2 linked regions of the Macaca mulatta genome follow. The protein of the gene in region 1 interacts with the protein of each later gene in a pairwise test. Links are inferred from orthologs where the notes say so. Each region holds a gene or a part of one and is shown on either strand. Other genes may lie near its edges.

Evidence for each region. The genes of interacting proteins can lie anywhere in the genome.
Region 2: the proteins of SKP1 (region 1) and FBXL8 interact in binary tests that used the Homo sapiens proteins (3 or more experiments, as listed by UniProt). The link is inferred for Macaca mulatta from reciprocal best matches to the Homo sapiens genes SKP1 and FBXL8.

What each region holds. Positions count from the first base shown.
Region 1 is NC_133411.1:143,061,807-143,065,609, forward strand, and holds part of SKP1 (S-phase kinase-associated protein 1), read right to left. Parts: intron 2,854-3,803; coding exon 2,710-2,853; intron 126-2,709; coding exon 1-125. UniProt on the Homo sapiens protein: Essential component of the SCF (SKP1-CUL1-F-box protein) ubiquitin ligase complex, which mediates the ubiquitination of proteins involved in cell cycle progression, signal transduction and transcription.
Region 2 is NC_133425.1:62,701,645-62,706,006, reverse strand, and holds the start of FBXL8 (F-box/LRR-repeat protein 8), read right to left. Parts: upstream 2,931-4,362; 5' UTR 2,817-2,930; intron 1,096-2,816; 5' UTR 1,045-1,095; coding exon 893-1,044; intron 363-892; exon of another isoform or gene 85-362; coding exon of another isoform or gene 1-84. UniProt on the Homo sapiens protein: Substrate-recognition component of the SCF (SKP1-CUL1-F-box protein)-type E3 ubiquitin ligase complex.

The DNA.
Region 1 (3,803 bases):
TCAGTAAAGTCATTTTTGATATTGAAGGTCTTGCGAATCTCCTCAGGAGTCTTCCCCTTGATCATATTGGCAACAGTCTTGCATGTAACATCAAGCAAACCTTTGATGTCTAAGTAGTTTGCAGCCTGTAAAGAGACAGTTGTTTTCCTTAAAGTATACTTGATGTTTTAAACTAAATCCAAAGTTAATGATTCACATTCCATATCTAATAAAGCTTAAAATGCTAATTTTAAATTAAAGGGAGAATAAATCACTCTTAAGTTCTTCTGTGAAAGACTTTTATGTGACCTTCTTTGTTACACCTCTATAATGTTGCATCCCTATGCTTCCTTAACCAAACTATACTAGCTCAAATGTTAAATAACAGCCACTACTGTTGTGTATGTGTGTACACATGCACACAAATACCACATCAGGTCTTGGCAAAAATATTTGTCCACACTTAAAGAGTTCAAAAATAAGCAGTTAAAGCACTACACTTTATTGATCTCTTTTTAAAAAACAGGTTTTGGTTTCATTGACTTTATTGTTTACCTGTTTTCTATTTCATTGATTTCTGCCCTTTAATATTCTCATTTTTCTGTTTACTTTAATTTCATCCTTTACTAGTTTAAGGTGGAAGCTTAATCACCGATCTGAAACTTTTTTCCTTTCTAATAATATAGGTATTTCATTCCATCAGTTTCCTTCTAAGTAATTCTTTAGCTGCATCTCACAGATTTTTCATGTGTTTTATTTCCATTCAGCTCAAAATACTTTCTATTTCTTCTTTGACCCGTAGCTTACCTGCAAATGTGTTAGTTTAAAAGTAGTTGCAGATTTTTCCAGATATCTTTCTGTTTGTGATTTCTAATTCCATTGCAGTCAGAAGACAAACTTTGTATGACTTGAATCCTTTTACAATAGACTTTTTTTGAGACACCATCTCACTCTGTCACCCAGGCTGGAATTCAGTGGCATGATCTCGGCTTACTGCAACCTGCACCTCCCAGGTTCAGCCGATTCTCTTGCCTCAGTCTCCCAAGTAGGTGGGATTACAGGTGCGTGTCTCCACACCCAGCTAATTTATTTATTTATTTTTGAGACGGGTCTCTCGCTCTGTCACTGGAGGGCGGTGGAGCGATCTTGGCTCACTGCAAGCTCCACCTCCCGGGTTCACGCCATTCTCCACAGCCTCCAAGTAGCTAAGACTACAGGCGCCTGCCACCACGCCCGGCTAATTTTTTGTATTTTTAGTAGAGACGGGATTTCACCATGTTAGCCAAGATGGTCTCGATTTCCTGACCTCGTGATCCTCCCGCCTCGGCCTCCTAAAGTGCTGGGATTACAGGTGTGAGCCACTGTGCCCAGCCTAAAACATTATATGTAATGATAGCAGAATACATATTCTTTTCAAGTGTATATTACCAAGACAGACCATGTCCTGGGCCATAAAACAAGTCTCAGCCAGGCGCAGTGGCTCACGCCTATAACCCCGACACTTGGGAGGGCGAGGCGGGTGGATCACTTGAGGCTAGGAGTTCGAGACCAGCCTGGCCAGCATGATGAAACCCCATCTCTACTAAAAATATAAAAAATTAGCTAGGTGTGATGGCTCATGCCTGTAATCTCAGCTACTCATAAGGCTAAGGCAGAGAATCGCTTGAACCCGGGAGGTGGAGGTTGCAGTGAGCCAAAATCACACCACTGCAACACAGCCTGTGTGACAAGAGTGAAACTCTGTCTCAAAAAAAAAAAAAAAAAAAAAAAAAAAAAAATATATATATATATATATATATATATATAAAATGTTTTATAAATGTCCATTAAGACAATTTGGTCAATAGTGTTATATCAAGTTATCCTGATTTCTGTCTAGTTATATTAACTGAGAGAGGTGCTGAAATCTCTATGATTGTCACTTTGTGGACTTCTTTGAGTTCTACTGGGTTTTGTTTCACTTGGAAGTTCTGCTTCTAGGCAGATAAACATTTATAACTGTTACGTCTTTTTAAAAAACTGATCCCCTTATCAATATGAAATAATCCTCTTTAACCCTGGTAATATTCTTTCCCTCCAAACCTATTTTAATATAGTTACTCCAGCTTTCTTTTGACTCGTGTTAGTGTAGTGTATCTTCTTCCATTCTTTAAACCTAGTTGTGTCTATATATTTAAAGTGGGTTTCTTTTTTTTTTTTTTTTTTTGAGACGGAGTCTCGCTCTGTCGTCCAGGTTGGAGTACAGTGACCAGATCTCAGCTCACTGCAAGCTCCGCCTCCTGGGTTTACGCCATTCTCCTGCCTCAGCCTCCCGAGTAGCTGGGACTACAGGCGCCCGCCACCTCGCCCGGCTAGTTTTTTGTATTTTTTAGTAGAGACGGGGTTTCACCGTGTAGGCCACGATGGTCTCGATCTCCTGACCTCGTGATCCGCCCGTCTCGGCCTCCCAAAGTGCTGGGATTACAGGCTTGAGCCACCGCGTCCAGCCTAAAGTGGGTTTCTTATAGACAGCATAGCTAAGCTTGCTTTTCTGATCTGGTAATTTCTGCCTTTTAGCTGTGTTGAGACCATTTACATTTAGTGTGTTACTGATATGTGGATTTAAATATGGCATTACATTTGAATTTAGAGAGTATTAAAATTCAGTGTCAATGAAGTTAGCAAATTTTAAATCTATAAGAAGTGTTTAAAGGCTCTGGAACAGAGCTATCTTACACGTTAAACACTTACCAGAATGAGTTCAAAAAGTGTTCCTTGGTCAACTTTCAGGAATTCTTGGTCCCAAACAGGGATATCGTCTGTTCGCTTTTCTTTGTTCTCATCATCTTCAGGAGGAGGAGGGTCATCCTTGTGGTGGGTGCACCACTGAATGACCTACAACAACAAAAAAGTTTTATTCCTCTGTGGCATTTTGTCACAAGGTACTCATTCGAATCACTGCTGGGACAACTTATCCCTATACTGGAATAATAACTAGCTAGAGGTTGACTTGAGCCATTAACAGCCAAGCTTGAAAAGCAAAAATGAAGAATCTTTATAACCCTAGAAGGGAAAAGATCTTATTAGATAAAAGCAAGCCATGCTGACAGAGTACTGTACTTGACTACATTAAAAAGCTTCTATGCAAAAAGAAAAGTTAGACAGGACAATGACTGGAAGATACCTGCAGTATGTACAATGATTAGCCGAGAGAATATAAAATGTTTAAAAAATCATTATAGAGGCCAGGCGCGGTGGCTCAAGCCTGTAATCCCAGTACTTTGGGAGGCCGAGACGGGCGGATCACGAGCTCAGGAGATGGAGACCATCCTGGCTAACACGGTGAAACCCTGTCTCTACTAAAAAAAAAAATACAAAAAACTAGCCAGGAGAGGTGGTAGGCGCCTATAGTCCCAGCTACTCGGGAGGCTGAGGCAGGAGAATGGCGTAAACCCGGGAGGCGGAGCCTGCAGTGAGCTGAGATCCGGCCACTGCACTCCAGCCTGGGCGACAGAGCCAGACTCCGTCTCAAAAAAAAAAAAAAAAAAAAATCATTATAGAGAAATGGGTTAATAATATGTACAGGCAATAAATGAAATCTGAAAGGCCAAACACAAGGAACACTCAACTTTACCAGAAGCAAAACTAACACTATGGATACTTCTCTAGATTGAAAAAAATCAAGAAACTGATACTAATTGTTCGGCAACAGTGGAAAGGAAACACGAACTCTATAGGGAGTATAAACTGGTATAACCCCTTTGAAAGCTAATCCAGCACTCCTCAGTTAAAACTGAATATGTATATATATTGTAACCAGGAAATTCCAAATACCCCAGACACAT
Region 2 (4,362 bases), on another chromosome or scaffold:
GCCGTGCAGAAAAGGCCTCGGCTGAGTCCCCGCGACCAGGGAAGAACCCTCTATCCACCCCTTAGCTGGGATTCCAGCTGCCATCCCATTTCCTGCCTCCCTCCCCACGTCTCTGTCCAGACCGCGACTGTTGCCCCAAAGGAGGGAACTCTCATCCTATCCTTTTAGAAGATTTCAGTGGCGTCTGCCACAGGATGAAACCTGGACATGGAGAGCCAATGATATTTTAGGAACTGGGCTTTCTCAGCTGTCTCTAAGAAGTCTTGGCGTGGTTCGAATTCTGCCCCTGCCATTCCCTAGCTGAGTGACCTGTGGGAAGTGATTAAGTCTGTCTGCCTCAGCTTCCTATCTGGGCAATGGAGGTAATGATAATACCTATTTACCACACAGGTTTTCGTAAAGATTAAATCAGTTAATATATGTAAGGCACTTAAAAACAATGGTTGGTATATATTAGGTAGTCAATACATGTCAGCAATTATTATTATTACTATTATTATTATTTTGAGATAAAGTCTCACTCTGTTGCCAAGCTGGAGTGCAGTGGCGGGATCTTGGCTCACTGCAACCTCCGCCTCCCGGGTTCAAGCGATTCTCGTGCCTCAGCCTCCGAAGTAGCTGGGATTACAGGCGCCCGCCACCACACCCGGCTAGTTTTTGTATTTTAGTAGAGAGGGGATTTCAGCATGTTGGCCAGGGTGGTCTCAAACTCCTGACCTCAGGTGATCCACCCGCCTCGGCCTCCCAAAGTGCTGGGATTACAGGCATAAGCCACCGCACCCTGCCAGCAATTATTTTTTAATATGGGGGAGTCAACCTGAATCTCTAGCCCACGACTCCACAGAGAAGGTGAGTGGGCCATGGGGAGGGGAGTGTCGAGGAGCAGGCTCACCTGATTTTTGTGTCGTGCCACACAGTGCTGCAGGTAGCAGCGGCGGCCCAGGCCCTGCAGACCCTGGCGGCGGCAGCACGGTCTCTCAGGGGCAGGTGGCGGAAGATGAGCGCCAACACCTCCTCTGGCAGTCCCTCTCCAGTCTCGGCCATGGCCTGGATCCGGCTGGGGTGGGAGGATCCGCCACTCCCAATAGCTCCGGCCTGGAGAGAAAGGGACGTCTCTGGGCTTAGGAAGGCGCAAAGTGTTGCCGGAAGACCCATCTTAGGTGTACAAATGCTTGTGGCCTGAGTAACTTGAGGGCCTCTCAGACAGCGTGGGGCATCAGATAACTGCTTTGTGAACACTTGTTCACAAAGCAGATTTCACAGCCTCACCTACTAAATCAGGCTCTCCGGAAAGGGTAAGGCCCAGGAATCTGCATTTCAACAAGTCCCTGGTGACTCCACAGGTTCCACGTTGAGAACTCACCCCCCAACCTTTATTTATTTATTTATTTATTTATTTATTTTTTTGAGACAGGGTCTCCCACTTTACCCAGGCTGGAGTGCAGTGGTGGCGCAATCACAACTCACTGCACCCTCTGTATCCCGGGCTCAAGCAATTCTCCCACCTCAGCCTCCCGAGTGGCTGGGACTACAGGGGCACGCCACCACGCCTGGCTAATTTTTGTAATTTTGTTTCAGATACGAGGTCTCGCTTTGTTGCCCAGACTGACCTCGAACTCCTGGGCTCGAGCGATCGGCCCGCCTCGGCCTCCCAAAGTGATGGGATTACGGGGATGAGCCACGGCGCCCGGCCTGAGAAACCCCTTCTTAACCCGGCCGGTTAGTAGAAAGTGACTACAGGGTTAATAAGGCGGGAGCATTAATGTAGACTTTTCCTTGTCAGGGACCATGAGCCAATCAGGAAGCGAGGTGTGGGCGGGGCAAAGCTGGATCCGCCCCGGGAGGGGAGGCTCTTTCCCCGCCTCCTTCCCCGCCTCCGCCTCGCGGGGGAGATGTCCCGGGTGCTTCCTAAGACAGCCCCACAAGATGAAAAAGAACTTGGGGCTCTGGGACCTGACGGTTCTGGTGCCTGAGGGGCTCAAGTTTCAAGTGCCGACCCCTGAGCAGTCCTGGCTCCCGCTGGGCACTTTGGGTTTGGCTGGAACTCCGCAGACCCACCCTGGAGAGCAGCCTTTAGAGGGGGATGGGTTATTGGAAAAGTGTGCGTCCTCTTTGAAGTTGCCAATCTTGTTTGTTTTTTCTTTTTGTTTTGTTTTGTTCTGAGACGGAATCTAGCTGTGTCGCCCAGGCTGGAGTGCAGTGGCGAGATCTCGGCTCACTGCAACCTCCACCTCGCGGGTTCAAGAGATTCTCCTGCCGCGGCCTCGCGAGTAGCTGGGACTACAGGCGCGCGCCACCACGTCCGGCTAATTTTTGTATTTTTAGTAGAGATGGGGTTTCACCATATTGGCCAGGCTGGTCCTGAACTCCTGATCTCAGGTGATCCACCTGCCTCGGCCTCTCAAAGTGCTGGGATTACAGGCGTGAGCCACTGCGCCGGGCCGCCAATCTTGTTTTAAGGTTCCTGAAGGTTTGCGTACACAAGGCTTCACACTACTCGCCAGTTAATGTTCCCATATCTTCCGGGCTAACAGTTTCTCCCGGAATTTGTGCCACGTGTTTCCTGGGGCTTCAGATACGCTCGGCTGGGCTTGTACCTGGGACACATGGGCACCCCGTTTTGAGTGCCCACTGGCAGCAGCGATCTTGAAGCCGGATCCCCAGGGGCACCAGAAAATTCTGGTCTCCAGGGGGCGCTCCCTTGATCTACCGAAATCTGGCAGCTCTCGCTCTTACGAGCCCCCGGCCTCGTAAAAATCGCAAACCCCCAAAGTCCCGGTCTTCCTGCCGTCTAACCTTGGGCGCTGGTGTCTTACCTGCTCAGCGAACCAGATGGGCTTTGCCCGGGACAGGGGACTGGCAGCAGAGGGCAGCGGGCGGGAAGCAGCCACCGGGAGCCCGCGGAGCAGGACGCGCGGGCGGACTAGGAGGCTCGGGCTAGGGCACCGCCCCAGCGCCTCCGCGCACACCCGGAAGCGGCGCGAGTAGAGCGGAGCCTGGCGGGCGTGGGAACCCAGGCCCAGCCGAGGCGGCCAGGTTAGTGCAGTTGGTGGGTGGGTGTGTGGGTGGGCTCCCCAGTGCGGGCGGGAGCGGAGGTGGATCTTGGCTCCGAAGCGTGGGCGCGGCGCAGATGTCACCAGCGGCTGCTCCAGCCAGCTGGTGGCGGCGGCCTATTGGGCTGTTCCCGTGGGAGGCGGGGGGCGGTACTGAATTTGGCCCCCGCAGGCTCTTCGTCCCTGCCAGCGCTTTCGAGGAGCAGTAGGGCCCCGCAGGAGAGAGGGTGGGGGAGGAGGGGTGGTTCTGAACACCTCCTTGAGCGGAGACCCCCCTGTCCACCCCAGCCGATCGCACGTGCGAAACCCCAGCTTGAGGGTGGGCTAGTGGGAGCCTGGGAAGCTCCCCTCCAGCGCTCGGGAGCTGCGTAGCTGAGTAGGGGGTGTGCCCGGCGGGTCGCAAGGAGTCGCAGGCTTTCATTTCTGGGCCACGCCCACAGGCTGTCCCTGTCCACCCAGCCAGAGGTGGGGCTGCCCCCGGGACTGTTAAGTGTTCAAGGGGCACCGTGCGTGGCTCGCCCCTGGAAATGGCGGCAGACGTTGTTAGGTCGGTACCCAAGTGCCCCACAGTCTCCGGCCACCAAACGTTCTCAGGACCCAGCCTGGAAGCCTCAGCCCCTCCCAAAAAGGGACGACTACGGGTGGGTGGGGCGCGGGGCTTCCCAAGGAGGGGCTTCTGTGAAAGAACACGTTAGAAGAGCTGCCAATCGGCGGATGCGAAACTAGGGCCCTGGCCTCTTTACCCTGTTAACTCGACCTCCAGCCTGGCTTACCTCCCCCATGGGTCTGGTACTAGTGAGTGTGAGGAAGCATCCCCAGTCTCCAGGTTCCCAGTACTCCCTGCCTCCCCACCCTCCCCTGCAGACCTGATGGGCAGACATTGGTCCCGTTTGGTCCCCACTTCCACCCCTTGGGGTGGGGCCACAACCATCGGGTCAGCACTCCCAAGTCAAGGGGCTAGGAAGACGTGAAAGAGGGAACGTTTCCAGGGGAGGTTCTCACTCTCTCCTACTCCCCAGGCCACTTTCCTAGGACTCCCCCTTATCTCACCTCCGTGGCTGGCTCCCTATCATGGACCCACTTGTCACCTGCAGAGTTTCCCACTTTTTCTTGTTTTGCTTTTAAAGAAAACAAATTTATTTTGCTCTTTTAATACAAAGAAAATGTCTCTACTTCACATAAAGCAGAAAATATTGCTAAATACAAAGAAAATAAAAATCACCCACAATCCTTCCCCACCCCCACCTCCCTCCCTCCATCCTGCCCAGAGATAAACAAAATGCAAATTTCCTGTTACTATCCAGACTGT